Sus scrofa: one gene and its partner. Each later gene encodes a partner of the first gene's protein in a complex. Links are inferred from orthologs where the notes say so. Each region holds a gene or a part of one and is shown on either strand. Other genes may lie near its edges.

Region 1 (9,883 bases):
ACAGGTGCAGCCCTAAAAGAGGAAAAAAAAAAAAAAAAAAAAAAGTAGTTCAGATAGATTGAGCCCAACCTGACCCCAATGCCATGGTCAAGGCCCCACCACGTGCCAGTCTCGCAAGGGCAGGGGCAGATGGTGGAGGGAAAGTGGCCTGGCCTAAACTCTCAAGGTTCCTGCCTCTGCTAGAGCCAGGTTCGTCCTCTCTGGGGGACAATTACAGACCAGGAGCCGGCACTCCCTACAGTCCCTATGCACTCAGAGAAACCACCCAGCAGTCTACAGAAAGCTGTTATCATCTTAAATGAAAAAAGAAGAAAAAAAAAAAAAAAAAAAAAAAAAGACTGGCTTGTCAACAGGAAAGGGTTCACTGGGAATTTCCTAGGAAGGAGCAGGATGGACGGGCTTGAGGGACGGAGTGAGTGGACGAGATGGAGGCCACACCTGGTTTGGCAGGACTATAAAAACCACCAGAGCCCCAGATATGTTTAATTCATCCATCTTCCCCTACTGGCAGGGCCCACGGCACAGAACTTTCTCTCCAGACCCCTAGCAGCCTGAGGAAACACCCAGATCAATGAGACCAGGTTCCTGCCTGGCTGTGGGCGGAGATTGCCAGTTCGGGCCTCACCCCAACCCTCCCTCTCCCGTCCCCCTCCCCACAGCTGCATCAGAGCAGCTGTGTCCTGACCGGGAGACCCTCGCCTGCTCCTCCCTCCTCTGCTGCCTGTTTCTTGGCTTCCCAATCCTTCCTCCTCTCCTTGTCCTGTTCCTCAGCATCCTCCAGGAGCCTCCTCCGGAATCCGTGGCCCTTCCTCTCCTCTGGCCGCTGCCTCACAGCCAGGGCACTGTGGGGCCTATCCAGGCCACACTTGACACCGTCCTCCCACCACCGCCTCTTCAAAGGGGTCCGCGCCCACTTCCCCTTGGGGGCTAGGACAGCCTGGCGGGGCATGGCCAAGAGCCGCCACCTTATCCCAGAGGCTGGCCTCCATGGCGACCTCGGAACATGAGTTCCAGCCACTACAGGGGAGAACCTCACAGCTGGCAGCCCAGGCACCGAGGGCCCTTGGGGCACCACTTCCTTGGCTTTCTCCACTGATGGCCCCCAAACCCAGTGGGAAGACCAAGTCTCGGCAAGGTTGCCAAGTAGGGGTCATGGTCCTGTAACTGGTGGAACCAGGTGTGAAACTCAGGGGCCCCCAGCTCTCTATGAAACCCACCCGGACTCCACTAGGACATGAGCCCCCACCTCTCTGACGGGGCCACAACCTTGTGGGGAATGAGTGGGAATGGGCACCCCCTGACACCAGCCTCTATCCAAGCTCAGAGCAAGAGTTGAGGCCATACCTCACTTCCCTAGGAACAAAGCATGAAAACCCCCAGGGACATATGTGGGCTGGTGGTCCCAACAGGACTGTGGCTCTTGGAGTTTCCAGCCTCCCACATGCAGCATGTGGAAGTTCCCAGGCCAGGGATTGAACCCGCACCATGGCAGTGACCCAGGCCGCTGCAGTGGCAGCATCAGATCCTTCACCCACTGAGCTATAAGGGAACTCCCATCACCCCTCTGTTCTGAAGCCCTAGCCTTGAGTTGAGGAGGCTCAGATGACCGCTCCATTCCTTCATCTCTACTCCTTCCACAGCTCCCCCTCAGGGCCCAGGCTGCCCTCAGAGCCCCTCCCCCTGGGCATCACCCCCCCTGCTGTACCTGGGTATAGCCTAGAGATGGTGGCCCATAGTCACTCAGCAGCTGGCGGTACTGTGAAGATGTCGCCATACTGGTGGAGGGCGGGTGGACACTCCCAGCTACGGGGAAGGAGACAGGAGTTAATAATCAAGTAGCCTTGGCTAACTGTACCAGAGGTGAGGACTCTCAGTCCTCCTGCTCAGGCCTCAAGCCATCAACAGTACTCTTTTATCTCCAAGGACAGAGAACCCTACTCTTGCTCCTGGTTTGGCCATGGCTGACAAGCAGCCTAGATGATTGATGGTAAAATATAGCTAATAGGCTCCTGATCTTCACATACGCCAACCACCACAGCAGACATTGCTAATCAAACACAGAAATCCTTCCCATCCATTCAGTCTAGATTGGTACCAAAGATGAAATCTGCTGCTGTTTCCTGCCTAACCCTTGCAAGTCCCCTTTCCCTGGGTCCTGCTCCCCAGAGGCTGATACCCTAGAGCCACAAGCCTGCCACAGGAGCCCACTTGCCACTAAGGCTGGCCTGCTCCTGGGCTAATACTTCCTCTGTGCCCTAACCTCTGCTGGACTATATCGTGAGGAAGATGGGGGACAGTCGAGAGGTTCTGAGACCCAACCCTAGCAGGGGACTGGTGTTCTAGATACAAAGTCAGGAATCTGGAGTACATCCCAGCCTGCATATCCTCAAACAAGTCCCTTACCTCTGAGCTCCTGTCGCCTCTCCCCAAAGAGGGGACAAGAGTCTTGACAGTCTGAGTCTATGCCCAGATGGCTTGCACCCCAAGAGAGGAGGGGTCAGACCCTACTGGGAGACACTGGCCCGCAGCAGAGGGGCCACGTGGGGCCAGGGCCAGGCCCAGAATGGAGTCTCCCAGATGGCAGTTGGGAGATGCTCAACAGGGAATTTTCCAGCTCCAGCTCAGTAGCTGGAAGCATGCAGACCCGTAATGGCGTCCGAGTGGCCATTAGCGGGTAAAGGATGTCCTGCAGAATTACAAACAGCGGTAACCATGGAGAATTTACCTAGCCCTCCTCAGCAGCTGCCCGCCTGCCTCCACGCCTGGCCGGGGAGCAGCTTCCCCTCTGCCTGCCGCCCCCAGAGCCAAACGGTCCCTCTCTCACGCACACAGCAGGCTCTGCAGACTTGGCCCCGGGGATGGACAGCTGGTGCCAGGCCGGCCAAACCGACCAGCTGCTCATCTGGTGTGGGCAAGGGGAGGGGCAGGGAGGAAGGAAGTCAGGAGCTCAGGCTGATAGAACTGGAAGGAGCCCTGGAGCCCCTCCCTGGAGAGAGAGCAACACAGACCAGAGAGGGTGGGCACTGCCCCAGGCCACACAGTGCAGAAGCGGCTACCTGTCCCTCTGTCCAGAAGCTGGGGACAGCCCCATACCCAATCTCAAGCCTGCCCTGGAATTTTTCCACTGGGGCCCGGATTTATGCTCAAGCACAAGATGTGCAGTCAGGAAACATGGATTCTGCCACCTCTAGGCTGCAGACTGGGCACAGCGCTGTGCTGCTCGGAGCCTCACTGCCACACCTCTAGAGCAGCGATGCTGAAACACCTGTGGTATGGAACTACAAGCACGTGAGCACATGTGGGACCTCTGTCTGAGGCAACTGTGAGTGTGCAGTGTCCAGAACACAAGAAGGTGTGGCAGGGCGGGTGTCCCCCACACCCCAGGTCTCCTCACCACATCAACCAAACCCCAATTTCCTGATCTTCTGATGTGGGTGGTGAGTGCGGTCTGGGTAGCTCAGGCTTCGCCATCCCAGGCCCAGGTTCAAGTCCTGGCCACTACAAGGTATTACACCATTCTGTAAGGCCAGGATGCTAAATGCCAAGACTGGGGGCGAGGGGTGGGGGGTGAACTGCACTGTTCAGCACTTTGAGGCATCTAGAAGATTCCAACTCCCTGGCAGGAGGTGAGCTGGACACCTGTCCTCCTCCTCTTATTGCTGTTTTGCATTTCTTGCCTCCCTGACCCCACCTTCTCTCCTACAGGCAAGGGCCTGGACTAGGAGCCAGTTCAGCTGTGTGACTTAAGGCAAGGCCCTTCCCTCTCTGGGCCTCAGTTTATCCGTCAGTTTGAGGCAATGGTTCCTAACAGAATGTCTAAAGGCTCTAGCTCCTACTCCTCCGCAATGCTGGGGTTAGGTCTTAGGGGAGCTCTGGGAAGAGGGAGGAAGGAGAGCCCCCACGTTTTGGTTAGGGGTGTGGAGGGAGGGGGAGATGGGAAACAGCCCAGGGCTTGACTTGCCCTGGGTGATGTGGTAGGGACCCCGAATCAGTGGCCTCACTTGCTGTTGGCGGGGAGGGTATCTGTGGCCCTAGGGAGAGTTTGCAGAAGGGCCCTGAGTTCCACTCATGCCCACTCCTTCCCGCAGATACAGGGAGGGCCAGCGGCTGCCGAAGGCCACGGAGAAAACCAGACTGGGCGTGAGCACGGCTGGCCGGCCGTCTCGGAGCATCGCAGACAATGTGCGCAGTGTGCGGGGGACCAGGGAGGGCCCAGAGCTGAGGGAGGGATTGGCAGAGGCCAGCAGCTCCTGGGGCCAGGCGCGGCTCCCCACCCCCACGCCAGACAAAGAGCAGCCTGGGCCTGGGGAGCTGGCGGCCTTCCCGCCACTTGGGGCGCCTGGGGGGGCTCTCTGGCGGGGAGGCAGGGGCTTTGTCTAACTCAGCCACTGCCACTGCCGGCCAGGCCGCGGCTTGGCAACTCGCGAGCAGGAGGCAGGGCTGGAGGGCGTGAGGGATGATGACAAGGAAGCCGGAGGAGCGGCAGCGGAGAGTCCATCTTGGATGCAAATGGCAGGGGGAGATCGGGCTTTCCAAAGGGGTCCACAGGGAGGGGAGCAGCCTGCCACAGATCTGGGGACCTCAGCACTCCTCCTGGAGTTCACCAGAGGAGAAAGAAGAAAATCTGTGCACAGGTGCTAGCCAGCCCAGAACAGGACTTCAGGGGTGCTGAGTGGCTGCCTCTGCCACCGTGACCCCAGTCCCCAAAGGTCCCAGTTTAGGGTCCCTGCCTCAGCTGTACCAGGGCAGGCCTGAGATATCCCACCTGTACAGGCAGCAGCAAGACCCTCCATCCTTACCACAGTCAGATGAAGGAGGCAGTGAGAAATACTACAGGCAGCAAAGCTTGTCTTTATAAGGTTTGCAGACCCCAGAAGAGGTGAGAACATTTGAAGAGAAAATAGTGGCTGTTTGCTCTTGAGGCTTAGAGCCCACATTTGACCAACTTAGCTATCCCCCACCCAATCACATCCTGAATCTTAACCCTTTCCACTCCCCAATCTGTGTCTAAGAAGTTAAAAAATAAATAAATATTTATTTATTTACATGCATTGCTTTTCTGGGTCCCCTATAGGATTTTTGGAGTTATGGAGTCAACCATTTGGAGACAAGGCTCAAAACTTTCGGACAACTGCCAGCGTGGCATTTCGGACCAGAGACGCCAGTCTCCTCCCCGCCAATCACACCCCCCCACGCCCCCACGCGCCTAGCTTTTTGGAAGTTTGTTTCCCACCAAGAGTCCAAAGGAGAAGGGCTATAGTGAAGGGAAAGAGCAAATCACCCCCGAACCCCACAATTTTACCCTCCCCTCCCCCCGGTGCCTTTCGTCCTTGGGAGGAGACCCTGGACACAGCCTAAAGCTGCCTGACAACTTCTGGAGGAGTTTCCTGGGACCGTCCAGTTCCAGCCCCAAGGAAGGGAGAGGACGGCCCCTAGGCTTCTGCGGGAGGGGACCTTCCAAACCCAGAGTTGGGGGCTCAAGATGCGGGGCCCCGAAATGCGGGCCCCAGGCCGAAATGCCGCCCCCACCCTCCGCCTGCAGGCACTCCGAAACCCCGGGTCTTCAACTTCGCTCATTCTGCCGCACACGCCTGAGGGGACCTTGCCGCGAGCCCCATTTTGGGCACCCCGCTCCCACGCGCCAGGCCGAGCCGCCACCGATGATGTCCCCTGCACCGCCGGTGACCCCAGCGGCCCCGGGCCCTCAGGGCGGGCTGCACTTGGCACGCTCGCCACCCCGCAGCGCTGCCGCGCGTGGCCTAACCTTGCTCACGTGCACGCAGCAGTCTCGGCCCCCGCCCGGGCTTGACCCCCGCTCCCCAAGGGCGGCCCGCGCCCCGCTCCCGGAGCCCCGCTCCCCGCGCGGCCCGGCCGCTCCCGACTCCCGCCGGCAGGGGCCCTCGCCGAGCCGCCCAAAAGCCGGAGGAAAACGGAGCCGAGAAAGCCTCCCCCGCCCTCGCTCGCCGCGCTCCCCGCGAGCCCTCAGCCGCCGGCGTGGGGGGGACCGCGGCGGCAGCCAGCGCCCCGGGCCCCGGCCCGGCCCGAGGCCCGGCGCGGCACAGGGCGCACCAGCGAACTTTGGCGGCGTGGGCGCCAGAATCATGGCGGCGGCGGCGGCGGCCCCGCTGCCCCGGGCCGGGACCCGGTGCCTGCCACCCCCGGCCGCCGCGGGTCCCCGGGAGCCGGGGCCGGGGCCGGGCGCGCGGGCCCTCAACTTGGCCGCACTTGGGGCGCGGCGCACGCGGCCCGCAGGGCGCACTCACTTACCGGCGTTGAGGGAGGCGGCGGGCATGTGCGCGGTCAAGTTCGGTTTGTAAGACATCCCCCCGAGCGGCGGGGCGCGCCGGGGCGCAGCGGGGCCAGGCCCGCGAGGGCGACGGCGGCGGCGAGGCCGGACGGCGGCGAGGCGGCCCCGGCGTCCGTGCGCCCGTCCGTGCGCCCGCCGAGCTCCCGCGCACTTTTTGTTGTTGACGGCTCGGGCCGCACCGGCAAATATGGCCGTCCCTCACCCTGACACCCGCTGCAGTATATCACCCATACATCGGGCGGGCGCGCGGGCGCAGGGGCGGCCGCAAACTTTGAGCGGAGCCAGCGGGGCCGGCCCGGGCCGGGAGGGGGCGGCCCGGCGCGCCGCGGCCCGGCGTCAGGGGGCGGCTCCGCCCGCTGCCGCGCCCCGCGCCTCCGGGCGCGCTCGGCGCCCGCAACTTGGCAAAGTTTGGGGGGCTGGGGTCCCGGCGGCGCCCGAGGCCCGCGTGGGTCCCTTTCTTCTTCTACGCAGGCGGCGCCTGAAGATTTGTTCTTTTACCGATTAATTTTTTTAATAGCTAGGTAGGATTGCAGAATTACTTTTTTCCCCCTGGACTGTGGGGGCAGGGATGGAAAATTACCTGGAGAAAATGGTGGCGAGTGGTATTTTTAAGCGCGTAGATCTTTCCAGACGCCAAGGTCTGGCTACACCCCAGAGTAAGAACAACCAATTTTTGACATTGATTTCAAATAAATTTCACGTCCCTGTCGGTATTAAGTGGTTTTAACCCTTTAGGGGCCTAGACACCTTTGAGACTGTACAAAAGCCAGCAGCCTCCTCCCCTGGAAAATACACCCGAACATTCACACAATTTTGCATCTTAACACATTCAGATACTTAAGAAGCGCCTACTGTGTGCGGTGCACTGTTCCAGGTGCTAAAGATACAGAATAAACTTGACAAAGTTTCTTCTCTCCTGGAGAATTTTTTTGCAATTTTTGACTCTCCTCTACCCCCACCCCAGCCCACTTCTCAGATCTGACTGAAACACAATCACCAAATGTATTTTGCATTAGGTGATGAAGCTTTTGAAGGTATTATTTCTTGGAGTTCTGCTTGAATAGTAAATCTTGTCAAAATACAAGAGATGCCCACCCTTTTCTGCCCTTTGTAATCGCCATGCTTTGCCGAATTTTTTTGATTAGCCACAGACATTCAGATACATCCGGATCTACTGAGGAAGGCATCAACCTTTTTGCCTGAAAGCAAAGGGACACCATCCATGCCTTCCCTCCATCCCTTTAGGAATGAAGGTACAGGTGACACTCCCTTCTCAGCACCCCTTGTGATAAGCTTTAGGCTGGTTCAGCCAAGAATGTTCAGTGATTCTGCTGTTAGGCACCGGGGACTATATCCAATCGCTTGTGATAGAACATAATGGAAGATAATGTGAGAAGTGTGTGTAAGTATATATATATATGTGTGTATGTATGTATATATGTATGAATGACTGAGCTCTTTGCTGTACAGCAGACATTGACAAGAACATTGTAAATCAACTATAATAAAAAAAAATTTTTTAGGTGTTCCCATCATGGCTCAGCGGCAACAAACCCGACTAGTATCTATAAGGATGCAGGTTCGATCCCTGGCCTTGCTCAGTGGGTTAAGGATCTAGCATTGCCGTGAGCTGTAGTGTAGGTCACAGACTCGGCTCAGATCCTGAGCTGCTGTGGCTATGGCATAGGCTGGCAGCTATAGCTCTGATTCAACCCCTTAGCCTGAAAATTTCTATATGCTACGGGTACAGCCCGAAAAAGACAAAGACAAAAAAAAAAAAAAAAAAAACACGTTTTTTTTTAAGAATGCTCAGTGAAATTTTTTTCACGAATAAATTAATATCACCCTTTTGCTACCCTGCCTCTAGAGGACCAGTACTCTAGAGTAGCATTGTCTAAAAGAAAAGTATTGCAGGCCACGCAAATAATTTAAAAGTTTTAGTAGTCACATTTTAGAAAGTAAGAACTGGTGAAATTAATCTCAATTATAACATAGTTTATTTAACATAATATACCCCAAAATGGTATGATTTTGATACATAATGAATATAAAGCAATTATTAAGATACTTTACATTCTTTTTTATGATACTAAACTCTTCAAAACCCAAACTGTATTTTACCCTTACAGCTCATCCTTATTCAGACTGGCCACAGGTCAAGTGCTCAGTAGCCATGATAGCTAGCGATTTTCCTGTTGAACCAGTGAAGGGCTAGAAACTACAAGAATTGGACTCATAAGGTATTCATTCTGGCTCCATCACCTGCCAGCTGTTTGACAAAACCTCCATTTCCTTGCAGCAAGAATCCAGATCTCTGTGGCCTGCCTCAGTCCCTTCTACAGATGCTGTGGGCTCTTTTCTTTCTATGTTGTGTTTTTAACATGCTGCCCACCATCCCCCTCACTAATCGTTATTGAAAAATATTTTTCCTTTTGTTTTTAATTGAGATCTAGTTTACTTAGTATAAAATTTATCCTTTTAAGTGGTTAAGGATTCGAGATGTTGATACTGCTATGGTGGGAGTTCAATCTCTGGCCCAGGAACTTCTGCATGCCACTGGTGCAGCCAAATAAAATAAAATAAAATATACAGTTCAGGGAGTTCCTGTTGTGGTTCAGTGGTCAACGAATCCTACCAGAAACCATGAAGTTGCAGGTTCAATCCCCGGCCTTGCTCAGTGGGTTAAGGATCTGACATTGCCATGAGCTGTGGTGTAGGTTGCAGATGTGGCTTGGAACCCACGTTGCTGTGACTGTGGCATAGACCAGCAGCTACAGGTCCAATTAGACCTCTAGCCTGGGAACCTCCATATGCTGTAGGTGCGGCCCTAGAAAAGACCAAAAAAAAAAAAAAATATATATATATATATATATATATATATATGCACACACACACACACACACACACACACACACACACACACACACACACACACACACTTCAACAGTTCAGTGAGTTTTGTGATCATCACCACCACTATCTAATTCTAGAACATTTTTGTCATCTGAAAAGGAAAATCTATACCTAACAGCAGTCACTCCCCATCCCCCACTACCCATAGCTTTAGGCAGCTGCTAGTCTACCTTCCATGCCTATGGATGTACCTATTCTGGACATTTCCTATGAATTAAATCATACAATATGTGTACAGCCTTTTTCACTTAGCATAGTGCTTTCAAGGTCCATTTATATTGCAACATGTATCAAGACTTTGTTCCTTTTCATGGCTGAGTATTTCCACTGTATGGATAGACCACATTTTGCTTATCCATTCATCAGCTTATGGATATTTGGTTTGTTTTCACTTTTTACTATTATGAATAGAGCTGCTATGAACATTTGTGTACAAATTTTTGTGAATATGTTTTCAATTCTTTGGGGTATATACCCAGGAGTGGAATTGTTGGGTTACATAGTAACTCTATGTTTGACTTTTTGAGGAATTGCCACTCTATTTTGCATAGTGACTGTACCATTTTACATTTCTACCAGCAATGTGTAAGGTTTTCAGTTTCTCCATATCCTCACCAACACTTTTGTTATCTGGCTTTTTTTTTTTTTTTTGTCTTTTGTCTT
Region 2 (10,077 bases), on another chromosome or scaffold:
AAAAGAACAAAAGAATAAGAGCATCTCAGCAGAGAAGATGTCATCAACTCCAGAGGCAGAGGCGAGCAGAAGGCCTCTGGTCCAGCCCCCCAGCCCCAACCTTACCTGCTGAATGTAGCGGTCTGTGGTTTTCCACATGTAATAAAACTGGACTATGCTGGCCAGTGACTTCCAGGGGAGCTGAGGAGGCAGAGGGAACAAGGGTGAGCTGGTATCCGGCCCTAGCGCCTGGTTCCCTCACCTCTTCCACCTCTCCTCCTTGTCTCCTCCGCTTACAAAGTCCTGGCGAATGTCATTGAAATCCTTCCCGTACTTCTCCAGGGCCTCCTCAAACAGCATGGCCTCTGAAGCTGACCATTCTTCCATCTCGTCCCGACACAGCACCGGGCCCCCCTGGGGCACCAGGGTCGACATGGCCTTAGCCAGGTCATAGCCGTTCCTTTGCAGTGTATCCATGGCGTGAAACTACAGAAAGGTGGGAAACAATGACGACGACGCCCCGAAAGCCTTGGCCCCCCACCCCCTGCTGCTCCCTCAGAGACACCCTCCCCTCCGCAGGTCCCCACAAAGCTCGGCCCACCCAGCTACCCGCCAGCTGCTGCTCACCAGGGTGATATCTCGGGAGGCAGCAGCTGCACTCATGTGCAGGCTCGGCTGCCGAATGGAGCTGCTGCAATCTAGGGCTCTCGCAAAGGTCCCCACAGCCCTAAGGGAGAGAGCGAGGAGTCAAGAGGGAAAGACGAACGCGAGAGTGGGCTGAGGAACTAGGCCAGATGAGCAAAACAAGGGCACCACCTGGGCCCCAAACAAATCTAGTCCGTCTCTAAGAAAGTGACTCGGAACCATGTCTACAACCCCCTTCCCAGCCCATCTTCCCCATCCACCCACCCCTCACCGGGCCACCACGAGAAACTGATCAATCTGCCGGTCTGTGAGAGGGTTGTCTGGATCCCAGACTTTCATCTCCATCTTCTGCTGGTTCCGATTATCAGATTCTCCTGGGGAGTGAGGAAATGGCATCACCGGGGAGAATAAGAGGTGTCTTGACACTCACAATGACACCTGTTTCCTCCTTGGATCCTATCAGCCACCTCAACTCTCAGACTTCTCTTCCCAATGTGCCCGTTTGCCCCTTTCAGGTTCCTAAGGTCCCGTTCTGTCAGGGACACAGCACAGAGCTGTGCAAAGTGCACCACACAGCGCCAGGGCACACCATTCAGGAACTATGATGGTAGACAACTCTGTTCTGGGGCATACCCTCTGCCAGGCGATCTGGGATCTCAGCTTGGTATTTGCAACCAACTCGGATCTCTCCCTGATCAGCTAGAAGTGTCTTCTGCACAGGGTCAAACACCAGCGAATAAAAAAAGCAGTCCTGGAGAAGGGAAGACAGAAGGTAAGCAGGGCAGCAGTCCTCACAGGCGGGGGCGGTGGGCTATATCCGGAGTCCCTAGGACAGGCAGCCTGTCAACCTGGACCTCACCACAGTCTGACTTCTCCTCTTGCCTTCTGGGGCAATACCCACCCCCCTCCCTCTTCTCCCACCTCTTTCTCACCTCCTTTTCCAGGTACTGGCTCAAGATATCTGTCTCATTCAAGAGGGTCACACTGCATTTCCCCCTTCAGGAGAGAAGTCAGAAAACCCTTGGTGAGCTCATTTCCTCTGCTCAGCATCTCCAACACGCTAGCCCCTCCTCTCCAACTCCTAAATAAGTAGCCCTGACTGTCCTATACCTTATGTGGGTGGCTGGTAGCGATTCAAACTGCCGAGAAAGAAAAAGCTCGCGGTGCTTCAGTTGATGTCGCTGCTGTTCCGACACCCCTGGCTGCTTTGATTCCTCCTCAAACTCCCCTGGGACATGAAGGAGGAAGAGACCAAGTCAGAAACTAATTCATAAAGAAGCCACCATAGAAACCCTAACCCAAGGAAAATATTTCCTATCTTACTTGCTTTTCCCACATTCCCTAGGCACCTGCCTTCCACGACCTTACCACACGAGCTTTCCCTCCCAGCCTTCTCCCAGTTACTGATGCTCCCAAGTCTCCATCATTAATGAATGCTCTTAGGAAAGAGCTACAGAGGGTACAAGGATGCCAGAGGAATACATCCCAAGCCCAGGTGCCAATGCCCAGACACCACTCATACAGCCTATATCTGACCACACCAGGCCCAGCAAGAATATCACACTTGTCTCTTTCATGCTAAACTTGCCTAGGCTCCAGAAATCCAATTAAAAATAAACACAGAAATAAATAAATACACCACACAAGGTGTGTTTACCAGTTCTTTGCAAATTTCAGAAGACTTTGCTCTTAAAGGTCACATGCAACCCTAACTATCCCTTGTTTTCAACCTGGCTAATAATAATTTGTGGGGCTTTCAAGGACAGTACCTCTCAAGCCAGTGCCAACACCTTCCTCCCCAAGGAGCTGTAACTTGCTCTGAAACCTTGGTGGAAAGGGTTAAGTTGGCTGGGTGCCAACCAAACAGGGAGGGAGCAGAAGAGCCACAGGCCCAGGCTCATTGGTGCATTGTTCCCAACCTCAGGGAGAAAGGGGGGGCAGGGGTGTGCAGTAGTAGGCTCCACCCCTCTTCTGAGCACTCCGGAAACCCTGTGCGAAGGCAAGGGGGACCACACCCCCCACACCCTTTCTGATTGGACAAGGCCAAGGTCAGCCCCTGCCAGATGGGACTGGAAACCCCAGAGGGCCGGAGAACTTGGTAGGCTCAGCTCATTAACCCTTTCATGCCCAACACCCAAAGCCGCCAAAAGTAAGCAAAATGATTTAGAAAGGAAGAATAAGAGAAAGGGGAAAGAAAGCCAAAACAGGAAAGGAAAAAAAAAACTAAGGGGAATTGAAAGACATGAATTTAACAAGAAAAAACAAAAGCGTAAAGAGAAAGCGGATAGGGCCAAAAAAAAAAAAAAAAAAAAAAAAACGAAAGATGTAAAATGGAGAAGAGAGGCCAGGATGGGTGAGAAAAAGTTCTTAAAAAAAAACCTTCTGGGCTTCCTATTCTCTCCCATCAATATAGCCTTACCCCCTTGATCACAAAACCCTCTACTTCCCTGTTATGCAAGCTTTTAAGTACAATCTCTTCCTGTTCACCTTGACCTTCGCAGTCACCACCCATTGTCCCAACACAACCAAAACTGTCCCCAAGAGTGTTGCTTCTCCAAATTAGAGCTCTTCTCCATCCCCCTTTTAAACATTACCACCTCTTTTACATACCCCACTCACACAAACACACACACAAATACACACCAGCCAAATTCTCACTTTTCATGTCATGGTTTCTCCACACTGCTTCCAACCCAACGTGTAAAAACAGGCCTCCCTCTGCAGACCAGGCATTTCCCACCCCCAAACTCACACCCCTGCCTTGAGCATGATACCAAGAGAAACACCTGCACGGACATGCCCAGGTTTCAGATCATGGGCAGGGGGAGACGGGGGTACAAAGACACTCACTGGCATTACTATCAGCCAGGCTGTTGAGGCTACCAGAAATGTCCCTTCGCCGGAAAAGGCACACAACCTTTGCCTCCACATTTCCATTTGCCGTCTAAGGAGAGAGAGAAAACAAAACAAAATAAAAAAAAAAAACACTGTGAAAACTAGTCATTTGAAAGTAGAACTGCAGAAAGACAAGACTAACAACATCAAACAGGTTTCTGAAGGATATAAGAAAAACCCAAGAAATTATGAATCAAGACGTTTGCATTTAAGGACAGACTTCCAAATCCCTTTATAGAACAGTCAAGATCCTCTAAGGTGTCAAGAGCCTTTCCTGAATGCATGGGATGAACAAATGAATGAATGAATATGAATGAATACTTAGAACAGGCTTCATGTTCTCCTGCTCTCTTCCTCTTTCCCTCCCTCTCTCATTCACCTGAAGTTAGAGACCAGGGGAGGGACTGGGCGGGGGGGGGGGGGGGGGGGGGGGGAGCCCAGAAGACTCTGCTCCACTCACCTTGTTGAGCTCTTCAATCCTTCTCACCAGGTAAGGATTGCTGGAGGAGTTCTCAAAATAGACGTAATCTGTAGGAGGGGGTGGGGAAGAACCGGGAAGATCAGAGGAGCGGATGGGAGAGCCGAGCACGAGAGTAGGAGGAACGAAAAGGAGGCCTGAGTGGACCCAAAGGAGAAAAGGGTCTAGGCAGAGAAGTCGCTGAAATGTGGAAGTGGAGAGACTAACAGAACGTAAGGGAGGGGTGCCCCACCCGCCACCCCTAACCACCCAAAAGTGAGCCTTAAGGAGGAGCCCAGAAGCAGGGGGTTCCCCAGCAGGCGCCGCAACTCAGCGATGGAGTTGCACCCGGTGTCGGCCAAGCGAACAATTGTTCACTCCAGCGCAGGGCCCCCACCTTTGCGAACCCAGGCGCACAATAACGCCTGGGGAGAGGAAGCCTCCCGGCTGCTCCCCCGCAGATGGCAAAGCGGTCGCCCCGGCCCTTCGCGCCCCCTAGCCTGCCCTGTCAGCTCCTTCGGAACCACTTTCCCAAGCCCACCCCGCGACCCCGGCGGCGCCAGGCGCAGCCCTGCGAGTGCCGTCGGGCCGCCCGAAGTCTCTCCGGCAGTCTCGGTGACCCGCCGCGTCGCGGTCCCCGCGCCCTCGCTCCCCGTGCGACCGGTTCCGGTTCCGGTCCGCGCTCCGGACCACGCCGCCCCAGACGCGACTCCCCGTGCCGCCGGGCGCCAAGCCTCTCCGGTCCCGGCCCCCGACCTCTCTCGCCCCGGGCCCCGCAGCCCCTACGCCCGGTACTTACCCCCCACTCGGTACATGTTGGCCGCCATGGCCGTTCCCGCCGCCGCCTCCGGCCGCACAAAGGGGTCCGGGAGGCTCGCGGGGGCAGGGCTCGAAGCGAAGCCCTGAGCGTGGGGCTGGCGCTTCGCAGAAGTCTCTGTCTGGCTCGCGCAGCCGGCACCTCCGCCACCTCAGCCGTCGCGGTTCATCCCGGCCCGCGCTGTCGCCACCGCCTCTATCGCCTCACGCCCGGGACGCCGAGGCCGTAGCCGGTCCGCTCGGCTTCTTCCGGAACGAGCTCGGCTCCCGCCGGACCGGGCCAGGCTCCAGCTCTCCCGCCCTCGCCGAGCCCCACTAGACGTTGGACTTTGCGGGCCGCCGCGAAGGCTTGCCCTGCCCGCCTCGGGGTTCGCCTCCTTCCGGAACACCTTCGGCGGATCCGGAGAACAAGGCCCAGCGCTCGGGTCCGGTCGGAGAGCGAGACCTCAAAGCTCGGCTACTTCCGGAAGAAGTTCGGCTCCCTCCGGCCAATCGCGTCCCGGCGCTCGGTTATTTCCGTTGCGGCTCGGCCCCGCCTCCGAGGGCGAGAGAGGAGTTGGGCTTAACTCTCTCCTCGCCCGAGTCCCGCGGCGGCGAAAGACTCGTAGCGCCTCCGCACTCCGCGGGGTTATTTGCAAGCGGCTTTGCCTGTTATTTGCATGAAAGGTCTACTCTCCCTCACCCTTTCCGCATTCCCCTTTTCCTTCACCCCACCCCACAGAGCCCCGAGGCGCCCAGCCGCGCCCGACAAAAGGACCGGGAGGCGACTTTGCTTTTGGTTTATTGCCCCTCAGCAGGTAGCGGGAGTCAGGGCCCAGGCTGGGGCTGCCCGGCTCAGCCAGCGGGTCTTTACAGTGTGTGCAGGGGTGCCGTTCGCCCCCTGCAGGGAAATGAGCTTTCGGGAATGTCTCGAAGTCTAGGACTGGGTCGGCCCGGGTCCTGGGAAACTTGGGCGGGGCGGGGCCACGCTGCAGGGCCGGTGGGTCCCGTCGGGCAGCGGTCAGACGTCGAGAGAGGAGGCGGGGGACAGCGAGGGAGTTCGAGAGGGCGTGGCAGGCGCCTGCCCCGCGCTCCCAGCGCCCAGCACTCGCCACTGGAAGATGCTGGCGTCCTTGCCGCCCAGCGAGACGAGGTGCGAGTCGTCGTACGTGAACCGGACGCTGGTCACGTGGCTGCCGTGACCGCCGTACACGAGGCTCGGCGCCTGGGCAGGAGGGAAGGTCGAGCTGCAGCGGCCGTGGAGCCCCAGGGCCCTGACCTGCCGTCCCCGGAGGCCCTGGGAGGCCTCTCACCTTGGCGCGCGCGCACGGGTACTGGAAGAGGTGCACTTTGCAGAAGTCGTCGGCCACAGCCACCACGCGCTCATTGTGGGAACGGCACAGGGAGTTGATGTCGGTTCCATCAGAGCCATCCGGCCACACGCCTAGCACAGCCGTCGGCCTTAGCCCTGCCTCCCCGCCACCACCCACAGCCCAGAGCTGCACCAATTCCAGCGCTCAGTCAGTCCCGCCACCCACCAGCCGCGTTCCAGGCAATCTTTCCCGGTCCCAAGGGCCTGCTGGAGGGGCCCCCCAGGGCTGGATCTGCCCATCCCTCCACACATGCCCAGCATTCCGAGCCCCGGGCAGTCTGCACCTTGTCCCCCGACTCTCGAGGCATAGTTCTGGGGCCCTGCGTCCCTGCTCACCATAGACATGAAAGCCCAGCACGCAGGTGTAGGTGGCCCACTCCCGGTCTCGGCTGTCATAGCGATTCCTCAGCAGCTTACAGCCTCCAGCCACGTCCCCTGGGGAGAGGGAGCCCACCCAGATCAGGTCTCACCCTGCCCTCAGCTGGAAGATGCCATAGAAGGCCAAGTTGGAAATACTTGAGGCACTGGCATGTGATCTGGTCCCCATGGTAGCCCTCAGTTCAGGGCAAAACTCAGCCCACGTGCTTCCTCTTTGGCTGCACCTGTGACATGCAGAAGTTCCTGGGCCATCTATGGAACCCCTGCCACAGCAGCAACCAGAGCCACAGCAGTGACAAGGCTGGATCTTTACCACACTGTTCCAGGGGGAACTTCCCGTGTGCTTCCAGAGTTCTCAGCTGAAGTTCTCCCAATAGTTCCTCCCCAGTTCCTCCTCCCTAGATAAGTCAATCCCTCCACACCTGTCTGGAGAAACTTTTCCAAAACAATCTTTTCTTAGTGCGTTTTTCAACTCCCTCAAGGCCTTTGCGGGTCAAGACATAGTGTAAAACTGTAGGTGTGGGGTTTTTTTGGTCCAAATGACAGAATTTCTCCTATGTGTAAAATTCTGACTCCACTTCAGACCTATCTCCACCCCCTCTCTGACAGCCCCTCCACTTGGAGCTCCCCACATCGCCCTTCATCCCCTCCCAACTGGGAGCCCCCCACACAAATAAAACCCACCCCAAGTACCCTCTCCCTGTGCCCTCCCCTACTGTCACTCACAGTAAAGGATCTCATAGTCCCCAGAATTGGACATGATGAAGTTCCCATCCTTGGACCAGTCAAGATGCGTGATGAAGCTGGAGTGACCCTGGGAGCAAGGGTCAAAAGACTAAAAATGCGGCCAGCAGTTCCCCTCCCCAACCCTCCTGAAGTGTATTAGTTTACCTGCTATGTCACTGCCCCACCCTCCACCCCAGCTTCCTCACCACACAGCGGCCAAAGCGGCTGGACTTGGCACCATCACTGGAAACGCTATAGATGTAGATCATGTTGTCATGGGAACCGATGGCCAGGTACAACCCATCTACAAAGACAGTCACTTAGAGGGGGAAGGGCAAGGGGCGAGTCTAGGTCCGGGGTCGGGGTGGCTCCCACCTGGGCTGTACCGGACCACTGAGAGCTGCTCGTTGCCATCAGTGATGTCAGACACAATCTCCCGAGTCTCTGTGTCCAAAACCAGCCACCTGGAAGCGCGGGGGGGGCGGGGGGCAGAAAGCAGGTGTGAGGATCCCTGTCCTGGGCAGGGTGGTGGTGAGCAAGTCCGCGTGCCCCAGAGGTACCCCCAGAAAAGCTATGATGCAGACAGGGAGGTTGCCATTGCATTTTTTTGGCTGTGCCTGAGGTATGCAGAAATTCCTGGCCCAGGGATTGAACCCATGCCAGAGCAGGAGCCTGAACCACAGCAGTGACAAAGCTGGATCCTTAACCTACTATGCCACCAGGGAACTCCTGCCATTGCATTCTTATGCTGGGAAGTAGCAGGGGGCTAAGGGCAGATCAAAGGCAGCTGGGGGTACAGGGGCCCAACTACAAGGGCTTTGTGGCGTCTCTAAGTTTGTCACTTCCCTGTGTCAGTCCTCACTAGGTCCCTTCCATCCCTGCTGCTTCTCTGCTCCGAGCTGCCACCTCCTCCACTCGCAGGCTTAGAAGGGAGGATGTGGTGACAGTTGCCACAGGGGAGACCCGGGCTACAGGGAAAAGCACTGAGGAGCAGGAAGGTGCAGTTGGGGCTCCTGAGCAGGCACTGATCACACTCCCACACACACACCCCATTCCCAGAAACCCTTCCCATACCTCCTGCTTTCCCCTCCCAGGAGTCCCAGCTCCCTCTCACCTCCCCGTATTCAGTCCCACAGCCACAACTGCACCACTGGGGTGGAAGTCGGCACAGAGACCAGTTTCCTGGGAGAAGGCAGAAAGTGAATTCAGGGAGATGCCTTTCTAGGGAACCAAGGTGGATACCCTGTCATCCTGATAACACTAAAGCCTCCTCGGTGTTCCCGTCGTGGCGCAGTGGTTAACAAATCCGACTAGGAACCATGAGATTGTGGGTTCGATCCCCAACCTCGCACTGTGGGTTAAGGATCTGGTGTTGCCGTGAGATCGCAGACGCGGCTTGGATCCTGCGTTGCTGTGGCTCTGTCGTAGGCTGGCAGCTACAGCTCCGATCAGACTCCTAGCCTGGGAACCTCCATATGCCGCAGGAACAGCCCTAGAAATGGCAAAAAGGAAAAAACACTAAAGCCTCCTCCTCTCAATGAGGAGAGGGACAGGAGGCCTGGGGTGGAGGCAGGGGGAGGTCTAGGGGCTGAGGGAGGGCAGTGCTGAGGGGCCGCTGGAGGCATCTGTACAGAAGAATGAACATTTTAGCTGCCGGTACAGCCACACCAGTACAAACTGGCTGCCTCTGGGAGCAGAAGAGAAGGGGATGTTGGCGAAGGAGGGGTGACCACAGGAGTCATGGTGGGGGTGACAAGGAGGATCCAGGGACACAGAGCCTACCTTGAGATCAAGGCTCCAGGCCAGTGCATGGGCCTCCCCATCCCACAGGCAGAGCTGCCGGTCATGGCCACAGGTGAGGAATCGGTTCTGGAAGGGATGCGTGCAGAGCCCCCAGAGCTCATCCGTGTGACCCTGCAGCAGAGTATGGGCTGTCACCTCTGCGGCTCCCCAAAAGCTCTCCCCTCCCTGCTTCCTGGAGCCCTTGCCCCCGTGCCCCGCCCCCCCGCCAACCTGGATTACAGGGGAGAAGCCCTGAGCCAGATCTCCCCTCAGCAACGCATTCTTCGTGGTCCCCACCAGCAGCTCAGAGCCAGGCCCCTCTGCGATGGCCCGCACGGCCCCAAAGTGTTCCGGAATCTGCAGGGTGGTGGCAGAAAGTTAGAGCGCCACTGACCATTCCTCTTCCCCCTCCTTCCTCTGTCCCCGGCCCAGGCCTCACCTCAGCCTCCTGGAGGGCCACCAACCCGGGCCCCCACTGGACCAGCCGGCGGTCCCGCCCACCACCACTCAGCACGGTCCCGTCCCGCCGGAGACACAGGGCGAAGATGGACCCTTCGTGAGCGTGGGCCTGGGCCACAATCCCGTAGGTCTCTGTTGGCAAAGTCCTGGCTGGGTCACGCTTTTGGGGTGCAGGGACGTGGGGAACAGGAGCAGCCCAGGCCGTCACAATCGAGTAGGAACACCTGGCTGTTGGCTGCCTACTGGATGGTGTCTCTGAGCCTCAGCCCTTCTCCCAGGGCTCAAAGAAGTGAAGTAACTTCCTAAAGGCCAGACAACTAGGGGCAAAACTGGGATTTGAACCCAGCATCTGGCAGACTCCAAAGCCGCAGGCCTTTCCCTCTGCCATGCCGCCCCTACCCTTCCAGACTGGACCCCCACCCCCACCCCCACCCCGAGGGTCCCACTCTCTGATAGAGCGCCATCACCTCTCAAGGTAAAAGGATGGGAAATCCTCTGCTCAGTGTCCACAGACCCCCCTGGGGAACTAGCCTTCCTGGAAGCCACCCCCAACCACCTACCTTTGGCCCCGCCCCTGCCTGGGGTCCTG

Evidence for each region.
Region 2: CDK2AP1 (region 1) and MTA2 share a complex: the UniProt entries of both Homo sapiens proteins name them as parts of the nucleosome remodeling and deacetylase (NuRD) repressor complex. The link is inferred for Sus scrofa from reciprocal best matches to the Homo sapiens genes CDK2AP1 and MTA2.

What each region holds. Positions count from the first base shown.
Region 1 is NC_010456.5:29,627,778-29,637,660, reverse strand, and holds the start of CDK2AP1 (cyclin-dependent kinase 2-associated protein 1), read right to left. Parts: upstream 6,578-9,883; 5' UTR 6,323-6,577; coding exon 6,268-6,322; intron 5,875-6,267; exon of another isoform or gene 5,765-5,874; intron 1,804-5,764; coding exon 1,706-1,803; intron 1-1,705. UniProt on the Homo sapiens protein: Inhibitor of cyclin-dependent kinase CDK2. Also acts as a component of the histone deacetylase NuRD complex which participates in the remodeling of chromatin.
Region 2 is NC_010444.4:9,133,132-9,143,208, reverse strand, and holds the start of MTA2 (metastasis-associated protein MTA2), read right to left. Parts: upstream 5,392-10,077; 5' UTR 4,804-5,391; coding exon 4,776-4,803; intron 4,628-4,775; exon of another isoform or gene 4,374-4,627; intron 4,048-4,373; coding exon 3,980-4,047; intron 3,569-3,979; coding exon 3,475-3,568; intron 1,853-3,474; coding exon 1,735-1,852; intron 1,621-1,734; coding exon 1,557-1,620; intron 1,376-1,556; coding exon 1,258-1,375; intron 999-1,257; coding exon 896-998; intron 707-895; coding exon 607-706; intron 466-606; coding exon 277-465; intron 181-276; coding exon 106-180; intron 1-105. Other genes in the region: EML3 (echinoderm microtubule-associated protein-like 3), read right to left, coding at 5,793-5,996, 6,085-6,215, 6,480-6,578, 7,248-7,335, 7,454-7,551, 7,623-7,711, 8,362-8,429, 9,030-9,161 and 3 more. UniProt on the Homo sapiens protein: May function as a transcriptional coregulator. Acts as a component of the histone deacetylase NuRD complex which participates in the remodeling of chromatin.